7 linked regions of the Macaca mulatta genome follow. The protein of the gene in region 6 purifies or fractionates together with the protein of the main gene of each other region. This does not show direct contact. Links are inferred from orthologs where the notes say so. Each region holds a gene or a part of one and is shown on either strand. Other genes may lie near its edges.

Region 1 (3,943 bases), on a different chromosome or scaffold from region 6:
CCTGGGCAACACGGCAAGACCTCCATCTCTAAAAAACATTTTTTTGTTTTTAATTAGCCAGGCATGGTGGTGCACACCTGTAGTTCCAGCCACTAGGAAGGCTGAAGTGAGAAGATCATCTGAGCCCAGGAGTTTGAGGCTGTAGTGAACTATAAGCATGCCACCGCACTCCAGCCTAGGCAACAGAATGAGATCCTGTCTCTAAAAACAAAAATAAAAACATGTTTAATGGCCATCGGTCAAAAATAGGTTTATAACTACTAACTCTAAAGAGTAAATCTTGGTTTTCCAATTAAGGAAAATTTATTTCCTATATTTTAAATCAGAAAATAGCCACAAAAAATCACTTACACTCAGAAGTAACAATAAATGCAAACTCATTAATGGAAAAAAAATTTTAAGTTACAATTAAAAGAGAGCAGAAACATCTGCAACATAATGCAAATGTATCTATGATACTACCACATGAAAATGAAATTTGACCCAAAAAAACGTTAAAACACTCAAATTATGCAGGTAAGGGCAATTTACGTATTTCAGATTTATCTTGTTTAAAATAATTTTTTGGTGTAGTTTTAAAAGCCTTGCCTCCTTTTACCCTTCAGAGAATAGCGTCCCACTAAAAGAGAACACTATTGTAAGGATCCTTTCAGGCAAGAAACTTGTCTTTATGATGTAAACCAGGGCTACCAGATCCAGATAAGGTTTGCCATTAGGATGCTTCAGAAGTAATAACCTTCAAAGAAAAAAAAATTTTAAAGTAATTCCTGCATTAATAATTGCTAGTTAGTGAATTTAGTTTTTAAGCACATTGTATTTTTATATAAATTTTTAAAACTTAAAATTCTAAACTTAATTTCCAGAAACAAAATCAATCCTTTCACTCTGAACATCAACGTCAAGACGGCAGCTTCTTATTTGACAGTTACTTAGTATTTCTTTAACTATATTTTACATCTACTGAGTGTTTCAGAGCCTTAAAATTCATTACGATTATTATATTATTAGTTACAACGTGCACTGTAACATTCCCTTTTTAAAGAGGTGCAAATAGAAGTTAAATAACTTATCCAAGGTCACCCAACAAGTCAGTGACAAAGTTGGGAGTAGGAGTAAAACTTCAGCCCCTAGACTGAAGACTACTTCAAGCGTTTGCAATTCCAAAAGAGGGAGAAAAAAAAAAAAAAAAAAAAAAAAAGGTCAAGCGATTTACCCTCAATAACTTCTAATAGTATACTCTAAATACAGTGGTACACTTATTATCATAAACACTAATAAAAAAGATTCACCGTGAATGAAAGAAACAACTTTGCTACATTTAGATACCACTGTCATTTCCCTAGCTCTTGTAACAAGCGAAAATCCTGCACTGGATCTGGCTATATGAAATCCTAGGGAATGTTCACTCTTCAATATGAACAATTTATTTTCATGCTAACATGCATTTGCGAATTAATCTTTTATCACCTTGTCCTATTTGGAGGTGCTGTGGGATGCATTTATTTCCTCACTCTTCCATAACATCAAGTCAAAGACTACAATCTCAAAACTAAGCAATTCTCAGTGAAAACACAGTTACATAGCCAATGAAAGAAAAGCTCTAATAAATGGCTGCTTTTAAAGAGATACTTTTAAAGGATGCTTATATGCTTCAGAGCATTACTGGTAACTCGCCCGCCAAGAAGGATGGTCCCTTTAAAGTAGCCTTTAAGGCATTATCCCTCCCCGTTTGGGACACAGTCTGACTTGTTGGACAAGACTAATCTGGGCACTCTCACACACAACCCCTCTGAACCAGCTTAGTTCATTGCAAACATCATTTCAACTGTAGTACTCAGCCCTTCGCATACTACAAGGGACAAGATGACTCTCCTTAACAGTCTTTCAGAACGTCCCCTCGGCGGACACTGACAGCCGACCTCCCGCGGATGTTTTTGGAAATAGAAATGTTAACACCAGGAGAGGCTCCTAGGAAGTGTCAGTGCGGCAGCAGGTGGAGTAGCCCTGCGTGCCGAGCAGGTTCTTTCTGACCTAGTCTCAGTCTCCGGCTTCCCGGCCCCAGTTCCGCCTTACAGAGATCTTGTTAAGCCGTCTTGCGCCCCTGTTCTCTAACCCAGGGCGAGACTTCCAACCCTCCAGGGAGGCGAGGCAATCGAAGCAGACAAGACGGCCACCCCATCTCTTCCGGGGACTCGCAGGCCCGCTCCCTGGCCATGTCAGAGCCTGATGGACCAGGCTGGAGGGGACGCAGCCGGCTCCCCTGGGAGCCTCCCAGCCAGAACCCCGCGTCCCACGGTTCCTTTCCACAGCCCCCACCCCTTCGAAATGCCACCGCCACCACCCTCCTTACTCCTGAATCCCCTCTCCTCAGGAGTACCCCAGTGGAGGGAGTTACCGGCCCACTCAAAAGTAAGAGCGACGGCCACCCCCTCGGTCACCCTGGCCCCACTGTCACCGCCCTGCTCCCGCCTCTGCCTACGCCGCTGGCTGACCCCGGTGACGCCCGGGTCGGTACCTTGCGGACCCCCTTGTAGATATAGAAGTAGAGCTCCCGGCCCACATTGAAGCAGAGGCGGTCGCCGTTGCCAGACTGGTCGTTGAGGTTTACGAAGGAGACGCGGACAGGGTTGGATCCCTGCGAGTTGAAGGGCACCCGGTTGGGCCGGCTGTACTCCGAGTGTGGCAGCAGCTTGTACAGACCTTCCCGGGTGGTGAATTGGGTCTTAATCTCGTTCATCTCCTTCCCTCCTCCCTCCGTCGCCATCTTGGAAAGCAGCGTTCATCCTGCCCTAAGTGCCCGGATCACGCCCACCGCGCAGGCGCTGTTCCCGGTGCTCCCTCTTCCCCCACCCCTTGCCTTTTCCTTGTCGCCCCTCCCACCCGCGGGCCAGCCCCGCGAAGGCGGGCCGAAGGGAAGGGGCGGGCTTGTTTACGGCCCGACTGCGCAGGCGTGCTCACCTGGCGTGCTCCACCCGGCTGGGCGTCCGCAGGCTCCTCCCCCGGGCGTGGCCTCCGGGCGGCCCGGCTGCTTCCCAGGTGATGTTGGTTCCAGCCGGTGGGGTCTAGTTGACGGTTCCGCAGCCACTAGGACCAACGGAAAGCCGATCATGGGGAACCGCGGCGGGGCTGGTGTCAGGAGCCTGAGGTGAACTTGAGGGTGCTTCCTCAGCGGTCTCCCCCCCTGCCCTGAGGGGCGCCGGGACCCCAAAGAGCGGAGGAAGAGCGCCACCCCGACTGCCACCGCTTCGGGGCCAGCACGCGGGGTACCCTACAGGGAGCGCGGATGCCCCTGTGTTCGGGCGGGGACGGCTCCACCCCTCCTGGGCCCTCCCTTCGGGACGGGGACTGTCCCGCCCAGAGAGAGTGCTGACTACCCGCGCGACCGTCTTGATCCCCGGTCAGGAAGCAAGCCCCTTGGAAGCCTCCTCGCCGCCGTTTCTGAGAAGGTACCGAAGTACTCAAGATTTACGCTTCACTATGTTTTATTTCAGGCCGGGTAGGGGTAGAGAAGAATGTGGTACAGCATGAATATCCTAATTCCTATGTGTGGTGAGCACTGGCGGCCTCCGCTTCTTAGCGGAGGTTTGTCCTTTCCAACTGTTCAGAGACACGCGGCGGGGAAGCGCTCTGGGAACCGGGGACTGAATCTATGCAGGATTCACTTCTCTTGCTCAGTAGTTTACGAAGAGCTCTTAATAAAATTTAAGGTAATTGGTTTTTTTTTTCCAGAAGCCTCAGGTGGAGTCAGTGAGATTATTTACTAGGAGATCCATAGGGATAGTTGTATGCATGTAATGTACAGGGTCTAGATTTGTAAGAACGGGCACACGTGTCAAAGTAAGATTAAACAATCACTATTTTATACCTGGGTTTCTTGGCATGTTGCACCAGAATAGGAAAGTTTCTAAAGTGACAGAAACATTCTAATAGAATTCCAGGGAGG
Region 2 (3,500 bases), on a different chromosome or scaffold from region 6:
GCCAGGGCTCTGGTGCTGGGAGCACTGCCCCCTGTTGAGGTCCCAACCCGCCCTGGAGACCTGAGCCCAGGCCACTTTGCTCACCTTTCAAACACTCCTTGGCGCCTCAGGGGCTGCCAGGGCCCAGCCTGATGGCGTGGTGTGGGGGTGTGGCATGAGGCAGTGTGATGTGGGGGTGTGTGGTGTGGGACAATGTGGTGTGAGACAGTGTGATGTGGGGGTGTGTGGTGTGGGACAATGTGGTGTGAGGCAGTGTGATGTGGGGGTGTGTGGTGTGGGACAATGTGGTGTGAGACAGTGTGATGTGGGGGTGTGTGGTGTGGGACAATGTGGTGTGAGACAGTGTGATGTGGGGGTGTGTGGTGTGGGACAATGTGGTGTGAGGCAGTGTGATGTGGGGGTGTGGTGCGGGGCAGCGTGGTGTGGGGCAGCGTGGTATCGGGCAATGTGGTGTGAGGCAGCGTGGCGTGGGGCTACGGGTGGCATGGTATCGGGTGGCATGGTATCAAGCAGCATGGTATCAGGCAGCGTGGTGTCGGGCAGCATGGTGTGGGGCTACGGGTGGCATGGTATCAAGCAGCATGGTATCGGGCAGCGTGGTGTGGGGCTGCTGTCCTGCCCGTGGGGCTGCAGTTCCAGCTCCGCTTCCTTGCAGGCCCTGAAGTACTCCTTCCAGACCCACGACCGCCTCTGCTTCGTCATGGAGTACGCCAATGGGGGCGAGGTAGGGGCTGGGGCTGCGGGGGATGGGCCTCACGGCCTGTGGACCCAGCCCTGGCAGCTGGGCCACCCATAGTGGGGCTGGTCCTTCCCGGAACCTCGGCTACTCTCCACAGCACCAGACGGTGCTCCCTGCTGGGTGGGTGGTATGACGCCTGCCCAGGCAGCTGCCTGCTGTGGGGTGACTTGTTCCTGCTGAGTTAGGGCTTCTGAGACTTTCCAGGCCCCCGTGCCCTCTGGGGGCTGGTCCCTTCCCTGTGCCCAATGCCCTGAGCCCCTGCCTGAGAAACCCCAACCCTGCAGGCCGTGGGGGCAGAGGCCCCGGCCACGGCTGTGCCTCAGGTCGTGCTTCCCACAGCTCTTCTTCCACCTGTCCCGGGAGCGTGTGTTCTCTGAGGACCGGGCCCGCTTCTATGGCGCCGAGATCGTGTCAGCCCTGGACTACCTGCACTCGGAGAAGAATGTGGTGTACCGGGACCTCAAGGTGCGCCGGCGGGCACTCGGGGTGGGGGCAGGGCCCTGGGAGCCTGGCGGCACTGACCTGAGGCCACCTTTCCCCTAGCTGGAGAACCTCATGCTGGACAAGGACGGGCACATTAAGATCACAGACTTCGGGCTGTGCAAGGAGGGGATCAAGGACGGCGCCACCATGAAGACCTTCTGCGGCACACCTGAGTACCTGGCCCCCGAGGTGTGCGCCCCACCTGTGTGCATACGCGTCGCTGTGTCCCCACGTCCCGAGCACACGCAAAGCTGTGTCCTCTCTGTGCCCCAAGCACGTCACGACACCTCCCCCGGACACCCCCTGATGCCGAGTCCTGCCCATCTGCCGCCCGTGCAGGTGCTGGAGGACAATGACTACGGCCGTGCGGTGGACTGGTGGGGGCTGGGCGTGGTCATGTATGAGATGATGTGCGGCCGCCTGCCCTTCTACAACCAGGACCACGAGAAGCTTTTTGAGCTCATCCTCATGGAGGAGATCCGCTTCCCGCGCACGCTTGGTCCTGAGGCCAAGTCCTTGCTCTCAGGGCTGCTCAAGAAGGACCCCAAGCAGAGGTGAGGGCCACCCATCCCGGCTGCAGGCTCCACCTCCATCCCCTCACCCCCAGGCTGCACCTGCCCCTGTGCCAGGCGGTCCTGGCACCTCCCAGACTACACTGACAGCCAGAGCTTGATGTCCTTGGCCAGGGCTGATCCCCAAAGCCTCAGGCACAGGCAGAGTGGCTGGGTAGGGCAGGGTCAGTTGGGCCTCCATCCCCAACCCTGCAGCCCCCACACCCCCAACTCAGGAAGCCCCTGCCTGCCGTGAGCCCTGGGGTGCTTTGCTCCCCACAGCTGCTCAGGGATGCTGCACCACCGGTTGCCCTCCCTGGCCCCAGAACGTCCTGTCCGGCGGGCCCTACATCACAGGAGGAAGGGGTCTGAGCCTGGGGCCTGGGCGGGTGGCAGTACCGACACCGTGGCCTTGTTTGCTACCCGCAGGCTTGGCGGGGGCTCTGAGGACGCCAAGGAGATCATGCAGCATCGCTTCTTTGCCGGCATCGTGTGGCAGCACGTGTATGAGAAGAAGGTGCGGCTGCTTCCCGCATATCCACACTCACGCATGCACGTGGCACGCTCGCCGGATTTCCCACACACCTGCCCTCACCTCGGGAGCCTGCTGCAGTCCTGGTACAAGGAGGGCCTTGCTGCAGCAACCTCAGTGCCTGCTGCTCAGAAGCTCTGGCACTGCTGGCTTCCTCCAGGAAACTGGCCTGGTCCTCCTCATTTCCTCCTCCCCTCAGAGATGTGTCACACTCTGAGTGCCAGCCTTGGGGGTCCCTTCCCTGATGCTGTGCAGTGAAGGCTGGCTGGCGGTGGACCAGGGGTGCTGCTCCTTGCTCTCTACCAGTTCCTCCTGTTGTCTGATCTCAATCCTTTATGCTGCAAGGAGAGCCCAGCCCTACTTTCTGGCTGTGCAGGGACGGGACAGCACCTACTTTCCTGGCACATGGGGGAGTCCGCCCTGGAGGGAGGCAGCTCTGTCTACATGAGTCGCCATCCTGGGTGCTCATCTTTCAGGAGCCCTGGCCGTCACCCTGGCTGATGGGGTCTGCTGGCTAGGTTCAGAATCCTGCACTCTGAGGTGCTGGGTGCCCTGTCACCAGGTGTGCTTCTGCCCAGTTCCCAGCCTGCCCCTCCCCTGAATGCCTGTCCCAGGCCATGTGCAGCTGGTCAGGCTGGGCAGCCCTGGGACCCAGCTGGGCACCTGTCCTCCCATTAACACAGGGTGCCCTGGCCCTGGTCCCAGTTCCTGCCCTGAGGCCTGCCACCCTCCAGCCCTGCCCTGCCCTTCAAGGGTATGGGGGGCCTGGGCAGTGCTCAGCCTCTGCCCAGCCTTGACCAGAGACCTTGCTAATTGACAATGGACAGTGCTGGTGCCCAGGCCAGACTTGGGTGGGGCAGTGCTTGAGGGAATCCTTGACTGTGGGACCTGAGGGGCTCTCTGGCAGCTCCTCACATGTGCACATCGCCTTATAGTCACCCTTGATCCTGGGTCATCGAGAGTCCTCTCTGCAGCCAGATGCCAGGAGGCTGCGATCCTGTAGTCCCTGAGCCATGGAGGCAGGGTGCGCTCATCCTGTGCACCCTGTTCCACAGTCTCCCTCTTTCCCAATTTACAAGAAGACTAATAAAAATAAGAAAACAAGAAAGAAAAAGCAAAAATAAAGTCATCACCTACTGGTAGCAGGGACGGTCTCAGAGCTGGGCCGCACTACCTCCTGTCGCCTGCTGGGCTG
Region 3 (3,500 bases), on a different chromosome or scaffold from region 6:
TATGTGGTGAGGGCTGCCAAGTTTGACAAATAAAAATATAGCATGAAACATACTTACATAAAATATTCATTGTTTATCTGAAATACAAACTTAAGTGAGCATCTTGTACTTTATCTGGGGATCCTAACTGGGGCACGTACAAAGATACAAATAAAACATGCTTCTTATCCTCAAGGACTTGCATAGAAATGAGGGACATGAAATGTATACATAAACTACTATACAAGAAAGAAAAGCAGTCACTTAGTATTTAAAGAGGAAAGGGGCAGAAGAGGCAAACTGAGAACACAGTAGTATGGTTGAAGAATGGTTAAAATTAACAAATCCAAGACTCAAAAGAGAAAAAAGAGGTAAGAATGCTTAATTATCCTCGACTCTTGCCACACATCTGTGTATTTGCCACACATGATATTCTTCCACCATAGGAGGTGGCTCAGTAATATAAGTTCTTAAGTCATTTATCATTTATTCACACTCGATTTAAATAACTCCAAATGGACATGCATTAACTTTTTTTTTTTTTTTTTTTTGAGACAGAGTCTCTCTCACTGTTGCCCAGGCTGGAGTTCAGTGGCGTGATTTCGGCTCACTTGCATTAGCAATCTCGATAGACATATCAAAAAAAGTCAAATTCATAATTTTCTGAACTATATCCCTCTCAAATCTACCTATTTTGTGCTTGATTACTCAAAATAATTCTTTTATTAAACAAATTCTATACTATGTGGATAGGACCAGTGACAGACCAAAATCCTGGTAAGATTTTGTCCCTTTCCTCAATTTCTACTGTCCCCAGCAGCTATTTCAAAAATCTGCCTCATAATTAACCAGCTTTGTTCTTGACAATCTTCAAATAAATAGGCAGATCCTTTTTAACTAGATGCAAAAACTACTTCACTTTGCACTTCCTTCTCCAACACTCTGCAGCTGTCTCCTTTTTGCAAGCCCAAATATCATTCTTCACGACACAGGCCAGCCCCGATCCTGTTCCACAACAGGAAGCTTCACATGTCCTTAGAGCTTCAACCTAATAAATAGTAGCACAGTATGCTGCAGGACTTGTGTATAAAAAAGTAGTAGGCCAGGTGCAGTGGCTCACATCTGTAATCCCAGCAGTTCGGGAGGCCAAGGTGGGCGGATCACGAGGTCAGGAGATCAAGACTATCCTGGCCAACATAGTGAAATCCCGTCTCTACTAAAAATACAAAAATTAGCTGAGTGTGGCAGTACGTGACTATAATCCCAGCTACTCAGGAGGCTGAGGCAGGAGAATCACTTGAACCCGATTCAAGGAGGCGGAGGTTGCAGTGAGCCGAGATCACACCACTGTACTTCAGCCTGGTGACACAGCTAGACTCCATCTCAAAAAAAAAAAAAAGTAATGGAAAAAGCCTACCTATATCATTTATTCCCATTAACTCATTTATCATATACCTTCACACAATTCTACAGCTGAAAGGACTCCAGAGTTCATTTGGTCCACAGCCCTCCTTCAAAGGTGCTGAAAATTCAGTCTTATAGTCATTTTGTGCCTAGACTAAATTCACAGGGCAAGCAAAGATCCAGAGTCAGATTTTTAAATTTTCAATTCAGTATTTTTCCTACTAAATTACACTACTATCTACATCTTTTGAGTGATACTCTCTGAACATTAATTCTATTGTATATCTCTACTTCTTTTAGAAACTATAAAGGAATCTAAAAACTACTCAAACTATAATTTATTCATTGTTCCCTCATTACAAAGTAACGTAAAATTCATTTTAATTAAAAAAAAAAAAAAAAAAAAAAAAGGACAAGGTCAGGACCTGCAGACCAGCCTGGCCAACATGGTGAAACCCCATCTCCACTAAAAATACAAAAATTTAGCAGGGTGTGGTGGCACATGCCTGTAGTCCCAGCTACTTGGGAGGCTAAAGCAGGAGAACTGCTTGAATCCAGGAGGCAGAGGTTGCAGTGAGCCGAGACAGTGCCACTGCACTTCAGCCTGGGCGACAGAAGAAGACTCTATCTCAAAAAAAAAAAAAAAAGAAGGATTCATCTTTATAGTAGTTTGTATTTTTAACTGCATGAGGTAGGGTGAGAAAAGTATGTGTACATCAAAACAAACAAAACTGACAAGTTCAAGAGAAGAGACACTGTCGGTATCCAATCTTTTTTTTTTTTTTTTTTTTTTTGAGACGGAGTCTCGCTCTGTCACCCAGGCTGGAGTACAGTGGCCGGATCTCAGCTCACTGCAAGCTCTGCCTCCAGGGTTTACACCATTCTCCTGCCTCAGCCTCCCGAGTAGCTGGGACTACAGGCGCCCGCCACCACGCCCGGCTAATTCTTTGTATTTTTAGTAGAGACGGGGTTTCACCGTGTTAGCCCGGATGGTCTTGATCTCCTGACCTCGTGATCCGCCCGTCTCGGCCTCCCAAAGTGCTGGGATTACAGGCTTGAGCCACCGCGCCCGGCCAGTATCCAATCTTAAAAGATAGGCTCATTATTGTATCTTTTAAAAAAATCTCTTTATTGAAAAACATTATATCTGTTTTAATAAGTGCACAAACACCACACAAGCTAAGTGGATTTTTACACTTTACTGTACTAGAATTTGAGAGGTAAAATAACCCTTACACTCAAAAGTTATCATTCTTCTTTTCCCTGTCCCTTGTAAATATAAAGGGCTGAAAGAATCTACAAGCTCATAAACACATCGGTGATCAGTTCACCAGTATTTCTATAATTCTGAAAATATTACTAGCAACAAACCTTTTCAATTGTCTTACCTTTGTTGAAAGTACTTTAAACGTGCTCTGTTCTGGTATTATAGGATGAAGAAGTTCCAGTTTCAAATTGTAATCCTCTCCAGAAGGAAGTTTAACCAAAGCAGACAACTAATGAACACAAAATTACCATCACATTTTGCAAATGTATATAATGGAGGGTAAAAAACCTAGACAAAATAATTATAAATCTTCAATGTTACAAATTATTTTAAACATTACATATGGGATTTTAGATTTAAGAACCTCAAAAGGTTCTGAAAGATTTAAGAACCTTTTTTTTTTTTTCCATCTGTTATCCTTGACATGAATTCTTATATATATCATTAAACAGCAGAAAAGAGTAAGTTTCATAATATTTGTCATATAATCACACCTATTTGACATTTAAATCTCAAGAAAACATACAAAAGCAAAATGATATATAACAAAAAGTAATTCATCTGCAAAACATACAGCTCTATCACTATCTCTTCGAAATTATCTATTAAAAGGTTCTCTACTAAATGCTAAGAAATCAAGTTGTTAAAAGTCATACTCAAGAGGCTGGGCACAGTGATTCATGCCTCTAATCCCAGCACTTTGGGAGGCTGAGGTGGGTGGATCACTTGAGGTTAGGAGTTCAACAACAGCCTGGCCAACACGGCAAAACTCCATTGCTACAAAAATTCGCCAGGCACAGTGTGATGGGCCTGTAGTCCCAACTACTCAGGAGGCTGAGGCAGAAGAATT
Region 4 (3,500 bases), on a different chromosome or scaffold from region 6:
AAGGATTTCAGGGTGGGGAAAGGGTTGGGTTAATTTTAAAAGGAGAGAGTGGGGACGGGACCCTGGTTGCCATCTAAGTCAGGCATCTCAACTCAATGTCTTGTGAGTAGAGCATAATTCTAAAAATCTAACATAATTTAAGTAGAGTAGGACTGTTACTAAATTTGAAGAGGCTAAAGAACAGTCTAATTAGGGTGTGAGAAAGTAAATATTATAGAGCTGGGATGTGAGAAGGCAGTATTATATTTTTGTTACTAAGACAGTAGCAGTAGCTGATTTACATCTCCTTTTGAATCCCAACAAAGCAATGAGGTAATTAGTATTATTTACATTTTCTAGAAGAGAAAACTGAAGCCTTTTCAGGAAACTCTGCATAACATCACACTGCCCACAACTGGCAGAAATGGTACTGAGATCCAGGCTTCTCTCACTTTGAATACCTGGTCTGAATCACTACACCAAGGTTCTTTAAGTAATCTTGACACTGCTTCACTCCTTTAAGATGTGATCACTCTTAATTTAGAAGTAGAAGAAAGATTCTTGCTGAGGATAAAAGACGGGACCCAAGGCTGACCCAGGCAATGGAGGTACAAGACGATTATTACAGAGTATTTGCTCCCTCCGGGTTGTCCTTAAAAATTCTGATCAGAGGCTGGGCATGGTGGCTCACGTCTGTAATCCCAGCACTTTGGGAGGCTGAGGCAGGCGGATCACCAGGTCAGGAGATTCAGACCATCCTGGCTAACACGGTGAAACTCTCTACTAAAAATACAAAAAATTACCCGGGCATGGTGGTGGGCGCCTGTAGTCCCAGCTACTTGGGAGGCTGAAGCAGGAGAATGGCTTGAATGCGGAAGGCGGAGCTTGCAGTGAGCCGAGATGGCACCACTGCACTCCAGCCTGGGCGACAGAGCGAGACTCTGTCTCCAAAAAAAAAAAAAAAAATTCTAATCAGAGAGCTGGGAGGAGGGCTGAAGTGGAGAAAGCTGGAACTTTTTTTATTTGGATAAAACATGCTGTTAGTACAAGTTTCCCAAAACCAAGGGGAAAATGATGAGTGCCTGCTTTAAAATTATTAAAGGAAATTCTAAGCAGTCAATGAAGACGGTTATGTTCCAAATACAAGTTCTGATTATGTGATGCTCTTGCAGTTTGAGAATTTTTTGATGTATTTAATAAGGTCAGTTACAGGTATGTATGTTCATACAGAGAAGATGTGTATACCACGTTGGAAAAGAAGATGAGAAGGAGACAGAAAGCAAAATTAGCTAATAGGAAATGATAAATACACACCCAGGTAAAATCAAAAAATGAATCTTTGAAGATTACTTCCAATGCCATTTTAAATGCTTTTTACAACCACTGATATGCTGAACATATGCAATTAAACTCAGAAGTGATTTATTTTAACCAACAACCCTCTATACACACACCCCAAAAAAGGAAAACTAACAGATCTCAAAGTTCTAGGAAATCAGATATAGTACTTGCAGAGTAATAAATAATAAAAATAAAAACAATATATTTTAACATATAAAATTTTTAAGGAATGATAAAATGTAAAGCTAAAACTCCATTTTGAAATAAAATTATCTTGAGAAGAATACAGAATTTCTAAAAGTTCTGCATTTGAATAATTCATGAACATCTTGAATATACACTGCTCTTCTAACCTAGAAATTCCACTACTATGTCCCCGGAGTTGCAATTACCTTCCACAGTGAACCACAACAGCAACCAGGTCGTACATTCTGTCTGGATTGGTGGCATCACCTGAAGTGTTAAATAGACGAAGTTCTAAAGGGAAAACTACCCGGTAAGAGAGTTTTGTATATCGATGAAGTTGATCCATATATTTAAATCTCTTCAGGTGTAGAGCTAGAATCATGGGCAGTTTTTTAACTTTCATCCTATTAAAAATAAAAATGAAAACAAAATTTCACAAAAGATATCCACCATGTCCTTGAATTATCAAACTATGATATCCAACGAACAGATAGTCAATGGTCAGTTTTAATAGCCCAGCACTGCCCAGTTTCGCACATTTCTACCAATTATTTTTATAATGACAAAACAATGTTCTGAACATCTTAGGACGATCCCACCCTACCGATCATCGCCACACCACATAATTTGACATAGCACTCAACATGGCTCCGAAACAGATGGAATGGCATTAGTCCTTGGTTAAGGAATCTGTATTTTTCACACACACATCTCTTATAATAAGGCTAAATGCACAGGGTGCTCAAGAGTGGTAGAGGGAAAACAAGTTTCTTGAAACTGACAATTCCTTTGGACTTGGGTAGACTGAAATCTAGTTTTTCTATCAATCTATATGATGCAGGTACAGACTGACAATAGGAGACTAAAACAACAAAAGCGCTACAGACCATTCAAGGTGCTTGTCAGAGACAAGAAATAATTCCATATTAAGAAAAATGACTATGTATATCCTAGAAAGGGAATAAAATAACCTGGAAACTTAGGAGTTAAGTTTTTAATTGTGAAACACAGGCTGTTCTTCATGTTCTAAATAATCTTTATTATGCCTTTAAATGCCATTTCTCCCTGAGAGTGCCTTTGTACTCCTACTTCACCTAAAAATCTATTCTTTTAATGGCTCAGCTCAAATGTCACACCCTCTGGCACAAATACCTGCTCTCTTCAATCCTCCATCAGCGCTTTACAGGTTCACTTTATATATGTCAAGCTTATTACATGGTAACAATTTTAGGTGATTACGGTTCTTTTCTTCTAGGCCCTGAACTCGTGGCAGCTAGAAAGCATTCCCTTCATTTTTATTTCCCCACTATCTAGCAACATGCCTGACATAGGATAGATGCCAAATGTTGCAGAACTGAATTTTAAATGGGTCTGGTGAAGCAAAATACTCCTCACAATTTAAACAAGTGAGATATATGGTAAGCCACTGTCTCTAATAAGTGAAAAATCATTTTATAACATTATACTAAATCTGCATTCTACATGTCTTAAATATGGTGGATAGCTTATTATTCCTAAATTACTTACTATTCGAGTAACTTGGCCTTTTGGAAACATTAGCCAAAGTAAAGGTAAACAACTAGTCACTCCTAGAAAGCAATCCAGCAATATAAATTGGGAGCCTTTACGGCCTTTGTCTCACTAATCCTATTTCTAGAAACATAAATTAAATATATAATCTCAAAAACATCCCTTATGAGAATAATCTACTTGTAGAGTTCTTTTACATTGTAAAAAATCCCAACTATTCAACAACAGGAAATGTAGAAATAAATTAGACTTCAAACATAACAGAGTGTTGTACAACTTAAATAAAACACTGCTGATGAAAGTTTCCAGGTGACATGGGAAAATACTTAAGAAGTCAGGATGTAAAATTATACATAAAATTTAATTCAACTATGAATTACCCATGTAGAGTTCCTGAAACGAAATCTTTACAAAGCATCAAGGTATCCTTTGAGAATTTCCAATGGATGGTAGATGCAAAAGAC
Region 5 (3,500 bases), on a different chromosome or scaffold from region 6:
GGAAGCCACCCAATCCACATGCATAGGCCAACCCTGCTCCACACAGGAGAACAATGCTACTTCTGTGGGGAGGAGTTTGAAGAATCCTAGTTAGTGGCATGCATGACTTGGCACCAACTGATTTCTGCTACCAGGGCTCTTCTGACCTTGTGCTCACAGTACAGAAACTGACCTTAGAGAACCCAGCCTCCCGCTGGACGTCCAGTTCCCTCACCTGGGTCTCTGCCAGTCCTCCCAAGGATTTGAATTGGGCACCCACAGAGACCCACACTGAAAGTCCTGTGTACCCTGTGCAAGGGGCCCTCCTGTTCACACCACCCCTGCCACCCACTTTAGCCACAATGCCCACCAGGTCCCAGGCTCTGCCTGCCTTAAGACCTTCCTGAACCCTGCACCAATGTGAGGCCTCACCCAGTGCTCAAGGCTAGGTTCCAGGTCACTGAAACACTGTGTTCTTCAAAAGAATAACAGCTCTTCTTCAGGGAGAACACCACAAAACTGGCATATAACTAGCAAATAAATACCATTTTACTGAGAATACAAGAAAACATCCAGTGACTTAAAGTTAATACGTGCAGGATAAAATATGGGGTGCTTCACATGTAAAGTTACAGTTTCTGATGCCATCTACCCTAGTACACAATTAAAAATGTATCAGTCTATTCCTGTGCATGGCAATGGTAGTCTCCTGGTAATGGTGTGTTCACCATAATCCGATTTTAGCAGATGGCGGAGAAAGACTCTTACTCTGTGACACGCCCCAATCTAAAACCTACGAGGGCGGGGGAAAGCTGTGCCTACTCCCAAGACAGAACATACACCTGTCCCAGCTGAGCAAAGAATAACAAACAGGTAAATTTTCAATATATTTTTCTTCCCTTATACCAAATTATGGAATAAAAAATATCTGCTCACACTTTGGGAGGCCGAGGCGGGCGGATCACAAGGTCAGGAGATCGAGACCACGGTGAAACCCCGTCTCTACTAAAAATACAAAAAATTAGCCAGCGCGGTGGCAGGCGCCTGTAGTCCCAGCTACTCGGGAGGCTGAGGCAGGAGAATGGCCTGAACCCAGGAGACGGAGCTTGCAGTGAGCCGAGATCGTGCCACTGCACTCCAGCCTGGGGGACAGAGCGAGACTCTGTCTCAAAAAAAAAAAAAAAAAAAAAAAAAATCTGCTCAAAGGATTTCGGCAAAATGCTTTGCCTTTCCATATCTAGAGGCCTTCTCTCTCTTATCTTTTTTTCTGATTATATACTTATTACAGAATGTTGGGGAAAGAATAAAAATAACAAAGAATATTTTTGAGAATATATTTTTAATCACTCAAAGTGCCAAAAAAATACTAAACTTGATCCACTGCTTCCAGTCTTTATTTACACATCTTAAAATACTTTTGAGATCATACTATAAATGCAACTTGGCTTTTTAAAAATTAAAATAATAGCATAGACATTTCTCCATGTTATTTCAAATTCCTCATAACCATCATTTCCATGCAAAGGAGATTTATTAAGTGATTTCTCTCATGATAGAACACTTAGATTTTCATTATTGGAATGCTCTTTATTTTATGTGTCTGCAGGCATGTTTACATATTTTTTGTGATGATCAGTAAGAGTTTGGAAGATATCCCAAAAGTACTGAGTGCCACGGCCCAGGAAAGGTGCAGCTGGATATACTTCAGCGAAGGGGCAACCCTTACACTTACCCTGTATGTCTGCTTCCAGTCTTGCCCTTACCTGCCACAGTGAACGACCACAGCAACCAGGTCATACATGCGGTCCAAGTTCACCGCATCACTAGAGGTGTTGAAGAGCCGGAGTTCCAGAGGGAAGACCACACGGTAAGACAGCTTGGTGTATCTGTGCAGCTGCTCCATGTACTTGAACCGCTTTAGGTGCAGGGCCAAGATCATGGGCAGCTTTTTTACCCTCATCCTAAGAAACCATGAAATAGAAAATCAGTTGTACCCAACACCTGTTAGGGGAAGAGAATACACTGTCACCTGCCCAAACAGAATACGAGGAAGTTCTATCCAACTTCAAACCAGCAAACAACCAAACAGTTTGCAAGGATAAAAGTATGTTGGCTTATATAGAGCTGATTTAACCTACATTCCTGGCTCCCAGAAGCATCCCAGCAGGAGAAATGTACAACGGTGTGTGTCTATTTGTTGAAAGGAGATGTTTCAGAATTTTTGTACAAATAAAAATAGGTTGTGCAATTGTTCTCCACCACTGCCCTGTGCCTTCCAGAGAGAAATGATACTTGGACAGTCTACCCCCTCAGATGATGGAGAGGTGGGTTGAGAGCTTTTGAGAACAGGAAGATGGGAGGAGGACAAGGTAGACGGTGCCGACTGCTGGACTTACAGGTTCCGAGGACTGGCAGGAGATGGATGCTTCTGACACACACTCTTGGGCACTGGGACACCAAGCGTGCCAGGCTCACTCTCATTCCGACCCTTGTGATCTTGGGCAAGTCACTTCCCTTCTCTAGCTCTCAGTTTCCTCATTTATAAAATGCAGGGGTTGGTTTAGGGCTACATTTTGCAAACTGGGTGCATGAGAGCACTGGAGATGTTAACAGATGTGATGTTTCTGTGGCTAAGTTTGGACGATGCTACTTTCTGCTTTGAAGATCCTAAGTGTACATTACCACACTGAAGATTTTGAGAAATCCTGCAGTAAAGGAATTGTTCTGTTGTTTGATGTTGGACTTCCCAAACTTATATAAACATAGAAAGGTTTTTTACTAGGTGATCGTTCACCTAGTAACTGATCATTCCTCAGTAAAAAGTCACAAAAAAAAAGTAAAAAGTCACCTAGTAACTGATCATTCCTCAGTAAAAAGTCACAAAGATAACAGTTTATGCAGAGTATACTGCTAGAATAACGGGTCTTCCAGTTATCTTCCAGGCCCCCATTCCATGAATGTACTGAATTAAGTGTAAATGCCGTTTAGTTTGCATACATTTTTAATGCATAGTATGTGAAAAGGACAAATTTTAAAAGAATAGTTTTAAGGAATCTATTAAGGAAAAGCCCTGTTCATACAAATAAGCAAGTAAAACAACACTAGAGAAATAAGAATTATGGGGAACCCCATATTTTACAGGAACACATGACATTGTAATGTATAAACTCCCCAGGGCTGAACGAAAAACATCTTAATGCCACAAAGGAAGACCCAAGGCCAGTCTTAGGCAGACTGCGGTTATAAGGATGGGGGGCAGACGTGAGTGACCTTCTTTACTAACAAAAGATATCTACCTACCTCCTTGAGGCCTGCCTGCTACAGTGACTAACCATCTGTAAGTTTTGCAGCAAAGAAAAGTGTACATGTTTGGAGTGAACGCCTGGGAAGGCTGGGCAGAGAAATGATCTCAACCTCAGGTCTAAACCCCTGAGGGTTTTAGACAGCAGTACTGAGCATCTGCCAGCTGCCTTGAATACTCCAGACCACTGACGATAGATTTAACTCACGGAAGCCTTTGC
Region 6 (3,500 bases):
TATGAGGGTTTTCTAAATAGAAGGAACTCAGAGGCGAATAATGTAAACAATTTGGAAAGCAAGTTAACAAAGTGTTTAGAGTTCCTTATCTTGTTACATTCCAAGAAATTCTCAAAAATCAGATAAATTATAATTACTTTAACTTCCAAATTAAGAATTTTATATCTGCAAATTGCTAATACTTCCCTAGGAAGGACAGGTCTGATTCCTTTATTCTGAGGAAAGGTGAAGCCAAGCAATTCTTTGTGGGACTGGAAGGTATGGGTTTCCTTGGCTGAGCCATACGAATGGAGAAGAAAGGGAGCAAAAGGTGATGCTACTTTACACTGATGAAACTGAACACGCCTGAGTATTTGGGAGGCTGAGGCAGGAAGATCACCTGAGCCCAGGAGTTTGAGGCTAAAGAGAGCTCTGAGCACATCACTGCACTCCAGGCGGGGCAAGAGAGCAAGGCCCTATTTCTTTAAAAACAGCAACAACAACAAAAAATACAAAACAAAACCAAAAAATAGCTCTCTCACTCAACTGGGTTCCAATTTGCAAAACAAAGACCTTCAAGACATACATCAGTGAGAAAGTCTCCAGTAACAGCAAACCCTACTATTAATCATAATTCTTCCCTCTAGGCAGAAATAGAAAAATGGGTCCACATTCAATTATCCAGCCTGTTTGACTTGGTCAATAACCTACTCCCCACCCCTGCAATATAAGCCAACAGCTCAAATGAGATCTATTTCTCAAAAATGGTTACCTTAGATCCACATGTTTAATGTGAGGCATTTTTCTTAAAGCCTGTAGCCTAAGGGTCTCCATACAGTTTCCGGACATACAAAGTTTATCCACAGCAGTCAATTTCTCCAATACTTCTGGAATGTCAGTAAATTCATTGAAAGAAAGACCCAGATAACTAAGCTGCTTCATGTTCTCCAACTCAGCAGGAAGGGTTTGGAGAAAGTTTCCATCCAACAAAAATGTCTGTAAGCTATTAGAGAAAACATAAGAATTACAAAGAGAATGTATAAATTTTACATCTTTATTATCAACATACAAGTTCCATAGTGTAGATCGTATTACCAGAAAATGTATTACTCTTTGCAAAATGCCTAAGGGCAGGGCCTGAGGCAATAACGGACCAAAGAGAAATAATCAGAGATAAGCATCTTAATCTTTTATTGAAAATGAAAATTATGACTAGCTTTCCCAATCTGAATAGGCTTAAATGGGAGCAACATGAGCTAACTGTGATATAAATTGATTCAGATATCCTTTGGGCTTTCCTTATTATTTCTCAAAATTAATTTCTAAGTCTTTGAATTCAATATAACTCAGAAAAATGAGAACATAACCCACATTCCATGTTTAGACATACTCATTTGCAGGGATCTTCAGTTCTAAACAAGAATATTTAATTTTTTACAAGATCGTAAAGAATACAAATCTAACACATGAACTCCATACAGACTATACAGTCCCTGATCTGTTGATTTGGGGCCAAGACTTACATGACCAACATAACAAGTTAACTAATCTCATGTGCTACACCCCCAATGCAGCTTCCCTGGGGTCTCTGGATATACCCGCCAGTGGGGTTTGAGGTACACACTTGTGCATCACTCCAACGGCTGCTGGGACCGATCGCAGGGCATTGCAGGACACATTCAGCTCTGCCAGGGTTGGAATACTGCAGACTGCTAGTGGGAAGTCCCCTAAATGATTATTGGAAAGATTAAGACTCTTCAACTTGGTGAACCTATTAAAATAAAGCAAAACCAAAAGGGAAAAAAGAGACAAATGTCACTAACATCATAATTTTAGCATAGCCTAAGAGATAATCTAGCCCAACTCCCAAATTCAACTGAAGAGGAAATGGGGGCCCCAGAGAGGTTAAGGAGCAGCAGCGCTGGAATGCACATCTGCTGACTCTAAGGCCAGTGCTCTACCTAAAATGTAAACATTCTATCTAAAAACAAACTTTTCCCTCTAAAATAAGGTTGAATATTTCAGGAAGTGAATTCTGCTGGAGTAAGTTTTTTAGCAGTATCTCAATTAGCTTAATTAACACAGTGTAAATGGCCCCAGTGAAGGAGGAAAGGGACCAGTCAGAGCTGGAGTTAGTCCTTCTGGAATCTGTGCTGTTCCAGACAAGTCAAAAACTTCTGTTTCATGTTTCTCAAACCCAAAAGTGAAATAATAAAAACTTATCAAAACAATACTCTCTCTAAGGTAACCAGGACTTTGCAGTTCCAAATTTAACAACCAATTATCAGCTGGGCATGGTGGCTCAGGCCTGTAATCCTAGCACTTTGGGAGGCCGAGATGAGTGGATCACTTGAAACCAGGAGTTCGGGACCAGCCTAGACAACATGGTGAAACCCTGTCTCTACCAAAAACACAAAAAATTAGCTGGGCATGGTGGTGCATGCCTGTAATCTCAGCTACTCGAGAGGCTGAGACACAAGAGAATCTCTGGGAGGTGGAGGTTGCAGTGAGCTGAGACTGCTCTCCTGGAATATATAGCCTGGTGACACAGTGAGACTCTATCTCAAAAAAGAACCAATTATCATTCGTCGATCTCAGTACAGTAATTGACTGATGCGGCTGACCACCCACCCTTCTTCTTAGCTCTCTTAAGCCTTCTTCTCCTGTATTAACTTCCTTTTCTTCATCTTTTCTTCCCCAACTCAAACTGAAGTAATCTTCATAGATAGTTTTTTTTTTTTTTATCAGTTTCATGCTCTCTCTACACTGTTTTCCTTGGAAATGTTTTGACTCCTATGTGAACAATTCTCTCAGTCCTGTCACATGCTGGCTCCTCTCCTGAGCTACCCCACATTTCCAGCCCAAAACTGAACTTACCATCTTTATTCCAAACTGGCACTTCTTTTTGTTCTATTTTTGTTAATAGCCCTTTCATTTTCACAGTTGCCCAAGCAACTTAAGCAATTAAAGAAGCTATCTTTCATTTTTTACTTCTCTGTGCACTCTTACATTTGGCCTATCAACGACCTCTACACCATCTCTAAATGAGATAAGAATCAGATCAGTGACTGCGTTATGCTAATTCCTTTAAAAACTAGATTACCCACATCTAATACTAGACAGTATGCACTCTGCCTAGAAGAGACACACACACTGCAAAAATAAACGCAATTCAACCCAATCAGCATATGTTAAGCTGTATTCTAAATAGTTAAATAAAAGTTGATTCTAAAGGGAAAGTTGACAATGTACCTATTTGACAGGTTGAGTGTTACCTTGATTTTTAAATAATACCTGTTTACTTGGATGGCTGAGTATAAGAGAATAGTATTTAAAAAAAAAATCACTTAGGAAAAAATTATTGCTAAATCTGAATAATCGTTCTTAAACTGTTTTATATTAGAGCCATCAGTCCTTCTTAAAAGAATGCTTATCCTCAGCCGGGTGCAGTGGCTCATGCCTGTAATCCCAGCACTTTGGGAGGCCAAGGTGGGCAGATCACTTGAGGTCAGGAGTTCAAG
Region 7 (4,209 bases), on a different chromosome or scaffold from region 6:
GCCTCCCTGGAAGACGAGCAGATCCCAGCACCATACTTCCTGTAAAGCCTATAGAACTGTGAGCCAATTATGTCTCTTTTCTTTATAAATGAGCCAGTCTCAGGTATTTCTTTATAGCAATTCAAGAATGGCTTCACACAACACCCTTGCATAAGTAGGGACAGATATATGCATATGCAAATTTGTAGAATATATTTTTAGATAAGGAATTCTGGGCTAAAGGGAGTGTTTATTTAAAAATTTGACAAAGCAAGACACAAAACAGTGAATACTATGGCTCCACTTATAGCAAAAAAAAAAATCACGTTAAGTCAGGTACACAAGCAGGAAGAGGTACAGAACAGTGGTTCTCAACCAGCAGCAGTTTTGCCCTCGAGGGGACATCTGAAAACGTCTGGAGACATTTTTAGTTGTCACAACCAGGGAGATGCTACCACATCTAGTTGGTAGAAGCCAGGGATGATGCTAAAGAACCTGTGATGCGTAAGACAGCTCCCTCCCTCAGACACAGCCAAGAATTATCCAGACGAAAATTTCAAGAATGCTCAGGTTGATAAACTCTGGTCTAGGATTAAAACATGACATTGCCCACAGCAGCTTTCTCGGAAGCATGGAGGGCAACTCTAATCTATACTTTTGTTTGCTGGGATTTTTACAATGAACACTCATTAGTTTAAATAACACCTCATAGACAATGATGGTTCAGATGAAATCAATCCTGTGGCTTCTCAGGCTGCTTCTATACCTTGGGGACAAATTCTGAAAGCTACCTGAATCTTCTCTTCAGCAGGTTAATCTCAGACAGCTCTTTCAAAAGTTCTTCATAGGAAATAATTTCAAGTCAGTTCACCAATCTGACTGCTACCTATGAAGAACACGGTCCTAAGTGCGGAAGAGCAAACTCTAATTTTTTATTCTGACCAGTGAAAAGTGGCATTATCCATCACCTGTCTCATTCTACATGCACTGGCTCACATTCAGCCTATTAAAACATTGGTTTTCCAAACCTGCTGCAGTTAATTTACATTTTCTTCATCCCATACTAGTACAATTGCCTTGTAAGTCTTTTTAAAATATATATACTTTATTGCATGCATTTTGGGAGTGGGTAGGCCTGGGAAGGAAGCAAGCAGGGAACACACTGCAGTAATAGGACTTTTAAGTCTTAATGCAATAAACTGAAAGGCCTGATGAACTACCCTTATTCCCCTGAGAAGTATACCACCATATAGTGTTATAGACTTGTAATACAATCAGGTTACAATTTTGAGTTATATTTCCATCCAGAGGAGACATTCTCACTACCTGCCTTGGATGCTGGTGATACTGAAATCCTATCACTAATGCACTGAAAAACTCACCTAACAGAGTGAGTTTAGACTCATTAATTTCACTCATTTCAACAAACATACAGTGAGTGCTTAAGACACTGTGCTGATCAATGAGATCAATAAAACCAAGATGTGAACTACTCAGAAGACTTTATAACCTACCACCTTCTGCTGGGATTACCTTACTGAAGGATCCCTTTATCTAACCACCTTCATCTGACACTTGATTTCAACCTGCAGAACTCCATATAATGCTGTGTTTTATAAAGAAAGCCTAGGTGTAAATTATTCCTACAACCTTTCAATCCCTTTTCCCCTCTGGGGGCCACTCTAAGTGCTAGGTAAATGTTTAAAGAATAAATGCACCAAACTGCCACTACCACATACAATACACCTGCAGGCAAACACCTGTAAGAGGGCTTTTATTCCCTGCATCACGGAAAATATTAAATGGCAATAACTTTTTTTATTATTATACTTTAAGTTCTAGGATATATGTGCATAACGTGCAGGTTTGCTACACAGGTATACATGTGCCATGCTGATTTGCTGCACCCATCAACTCATTTACATTAGGTATTTCTCCTAATGCTATCCCTCCCCCAGACCCCGACAGGCCACGGTGTGTGATGTTCCCCGAAGTGGCAATAACTCTTAAGCGTAACCCCAAACAAAAGTGAATTCACAAAGGCACAAGGCACAAGACACACACGGTAAGATTAGACAACTCTTTACCACATGGACAATAAATTATACAAACAATAAAGAAAGATTCAGCGATGCACACTGAAGGTGAAGAAATGGTGAAGACGAACTTAAATTTCCAATTAAAATTATAATTTCCCCACGCACATTCTCATGTCACTTCCACCTACCCAGGGGACAGCTCCAACATAAGAGAAGGCTGGGGGCTCCCAAGTGCGGAATCCTCAGCAGAAACCCCGCAGGGCCGTCGATGCTCCGCCGCCTCGCCACGCCCCCGCACAGGCCGCTCACTCCTCCAACGCCCACCCTCCCGGGAAACCCCTGGAGGCCTCCGCTCAGACGCAGCGAGGGCAGAGCGCTTCGAAGAAAGGCAGGGGAAGAGGGAGGCAAGTGGGCGGGGAACTAGCCTATCCCGACCCCGCAAGTCCATTCCTACAGAAAAGCGGCGACCAGCAATCCCGGGCTCAGAACGCCGCCCGCGAGGGTCCCGGGCCTGGGCCCCAAGGGCCACGCAGGCCGACCCCCGCCCCTTCCTCAAGCCGTTAGCGCCGCGGCCCCACCCCTCAAGGCCGGCCGCGCCCCGCCCCGTTCGCCCCATGCCGCTACCCCGGCCGGCCGTGGCCCCGGACACCTTCTAGCTGGAGTGGGCCCGGAGCTGCCAGCCGCGTCCGGAAGGCCGAGGAACCGGGCTTCCATACCTGCACTTTCCTCCGCCCTGCTGTGTTCTGCCGGTGATGGGCCGCCATCTTGCATGTTGACACTCCGACGTCACTTCCGGAGGTGGCTCAGACCGGGCGGATGTTCTGCCCGTTTCCCTTTGGCCAAGGATCAGTGGCGGGTCTGAAGGTAGACAGGATATGTGTTTCCTAGGTGGTGTTCGTTGCTGTATGGCCGGTAGCCACGTGGTGAGGTAGATGCACCTAAAAACAAAATCATTGTGCAAGTATAATACTGATGGGGAGAGAGCCACTTTTCAGGGCTGAGTGAGCAATCCAAATCCACTTCTGTGTGGCCCTAGACCCTGGCTTGCTCTCTTTTCCAGGCCCTCCCCGAGAGGTCCAAGCGAAATGAAAGCACTGAAAGAATTAACAGTGCAAGACATGGCGCTGGGCGATCTCCTAACCCTTCCTAGACAAGCAGGGGAACCAAGTGATTTACTATTAAGTACCTAAAAATGCGGAGAATTGTATCTTGGCCTCAAAGGGGGAAGAATAGAAGTCCTTGCAAAGGAGATTGCCTCCATCTTCGGGAAGAGCAAATAATACATTTAAATTAAAAGGATAAAAAGTGGGGCCATGAAAAAGAACGAGATCATGTCCTTTGCAGGGACATGATGGAACTGGAGGCCGTTTCCTTAAGCAAACTAACAAAGGAACAGGAAACCAAATACGGCGTGTTCTCGTAAGTAGGAGCCAAATGATGAGAACACATGGACACAAAGAGGGGGACAACACACACTGGGGCCTTTTGGAGGGTGGAGGGTGGGAGGAGGGTGAGGATCAGGAAAAATAACTAACGGGTACTAGGCTTAATACCTGGGTGACAGGCCGGGCGCGGTGGCTCAAGCCTGTAATCCCAGCACTTTGGGAGGCCGAGATGGGCGGATCACGAGGTCAGGAGATCGAGACCATCCTGGCTAACACGTGAAACTCCGTCTCTACTAAAAAAATACAAAAATTAGCGGGGAGCGGTGGCGGGCGCCTGTAGTCCCAGCTACTCAGGAGGCTGAGGCAGGAGAATGGCGTGAACCTGGGAGGTGGAGCTTGCAGTGAGCTGAGATCCGGCCACTGCACTCCAGCCTGGGGGACAGAGCGAGACTACGTCTCAAAAAAAAAAAAAAAAAAAAAAAATACCTGGGTGACAAAATAGTCTGTACAACAAACCCCCATGACACAAGTTCACCTATATAACAAACCTGCACTTGTATCCCTGAACTTAAAAGTTCAAAAAAAAAAAAAAAAAAAAAAAAAGACAAAAAGATGTTACAGGAAGGTGAAAACGGTACATCAGCTAAAATTGTTCCCAGAGACAACTCAGTTCCAAACCCTGAACTGAAAACCCAGTTCTAGTTTAAATCATCTCTTATACTAGAACAGTTAGGTCCTTCTGGGTGAAAGTGTGGTTTTCACTGACACTAATTATAGGAGCTGAGGGTGATCAGGCCCTCTCTAGT

What was found.
Region 1: the proteins of PHLPP1 (region 6) and WDR20 purify together in Homo sapiens (affinity purification with mass spectrometry; 4 studies listed by BioGRID and IntAct, with this or other methods). This does not show direct contact. The link is inferred for Macaca mulatta from reciprocal best matches to the Homo sapiens genes PHLPP1 and WDR20.
Region 2: the proteins of PHLPP1 (region 6) and AKT1 purify together in Homo sapiens (affinity purification with western blotting, with the first as the bait; 3 studies listed by BioGRID). This does not show direct contact. The link is inferred for Macaca mulatta from reciprocal best matches to the Homo sapiens genes PHLPP1 and AKT1.
Region 3: the proteins of PHLPP1 (region 6) and SUGT1 purify together in Homo sapiens (affinity purification with mass spectrometry; 5 studies listed by BioGRID and IntAct, with this or other methods). This does not show direct contact. The link is inferred for Macaca mulatta from reciprocal best matches to the Homo sapiens genes PHLPP1 and SUGT1.
Region 4: the proteins of PHLPP1 (region 6) and USP12 purify together in Homo sapiens (affinity purification with mass spectrometry; 4 studies listed by BioGRID and IntAct, with this or other methods). This does not show direct contact. The link is inferred for Macaca mulatta from reciprocal best matches to the Homo sapiens genes PHLPP1 and USP12.
Region 5: the proteins of PHLPP1 (region 6) and USP46 purify together in Homo sapiens (affinity purification with mass spectrometry; 7 studies listed by BioGRID and IntAct, counting the BioPlex papers as one, with this or other methods). This does not show direct contact. The link is inferred for Macaca mulatta from reciprocal best matches to the Homo sapiens genes PHLPP1 and USP46.
Region 7: the proteins of PHLPP1 (region 6) and WDR48 purify together in Homo sapiens (affinity purification with mass spectrometry; 5 studies listed by BioGRID and IntAct, with this or other methods). This does not show direct contact. The link is inferred for Macaca mulatta from reciprocal best matches to the Homo sapiens genes PHLPP1 and WDR48.

Annotation. Positions count from the first base shown.
Region 1 is NC_133412.1:175,491,952-175,495,894, reverse strand, and holds the start of WDR20 (WD repeat-containing protein 20), read right to left. Parts: upstream 2,801-3,943; 5' UTR 2,765-2,800; coding exon 2,516-2,764; coding exon of another isoform or gene 2,480-2,515; exon of another isoform or gene 1,200-2,479; intron 1-1,199. UniProt on the Homo sapiens protein: Regulator of deubiquitinating complexes. Activates deubiquitinating activity of complexes containing USP12. Anchors at the base of the ubiquitin-contacting loop of USP12 and remotely modulates the catalytic center of the enzyme.
Region 2 is NC_133412.1:178,211,574-178,215,073, reverse strand, and holds part of AKT1 (RAC-alpha serine/threonine-protein kinase), read left to right. Parts: intron 1-655; coding exon 656-724; intron 725-1,078; coding exon 1,079-1,204; intron 1,205-1,282; coding exon 1,283-1,411; intron 1,412-1,561; coding exon 1,562-1,776; intron 1,777-2,202; coding exon 2,203-2,290; intron 2,291-3,500. UniProt on the Homo sapiens protein: AKT1 is one of 3 closely related serine/threonine-protein kinases (AKT1, AKT2 and AKT3) called the AKT kinase, and which regulate many processes including metabolism, proliferation, cell survival, growth and angiogenesis.
Region 3 is NC_133422.1:31,930,778-31,934,277, reverse strand, and holds part of SUGT1 (protein SGT1 homolog), read right to left. Parts: intron 2,880-3,500; coding exon 2,772-2,879; intron 1-2,771. UniProt on the Homo sapiens protein: May play a role in ubiquitination and subsequent proteasomal degradation of target proteins.
Region 4 is NC_133422.1:7,160,896-7,164,395, forward strand, and holds part of USP12 (ubiquitin carboxyl-terminal hydrolase 12), read right to left. Parts: intron 1,911-3,500; coding exon 1,713-1,910; intron 1-1,712. UniProt on the Homo sapiens protein: Deubiquitinating enzyme that plays various roles in the regulation of the immune response and inflammation.
Region 5 is NC_133410.1:80,909,083-80,912,582, reverse strand, and holds part of USP46 (ubiquitin carboxyl-terminal hydrolase 46), read right to left. Parts: intron 1,941-3,500; coding exon 1,743-1,940; intron 510-1,742; exon of another isoform or gene 412-509; intron 1-411. UniProt on the Homo sapiens protein: Deubiquitinating enzyme that plays a role in behavior, possibly by regulating GABA action. May act by mediating the deubiquitination of GAD1/GAD67.
Region 6 is NC_133423.1:17,992,867-17,996,366, forward strand, and holds part of PHLPP1 (PH domain leucine-rich repeat-containing protein phosphatase 1), read right to left. Parts: intron 1,751-3,500; coding exon 1,604-1,750; intron 983-1,603; coding exon 752-982; intron 1-751. UniProt on the Homo sapiens protein: Protein phosphatase involved in regulation of Akt and PKC signaling.
Region 7 is NC_133407.1:101,351,243-101,355,451, reverse strand, and holds the start of WDR48 (WD repeat-containing protein 48), read right to left. Parts: upstream 2,801-4,209; 5' UTR 2,783-2,800; coding exon 2,735-2,782; intron 1-2,734. UniProt on the Homo sapiens protein: Regulator of deubiquitinating complexes, which acts as a strong activator of USP1, USP12 and USP46. Enhances the USP1-mediated deubiquitination of FANCD2; USP1 being almost inactive by itself.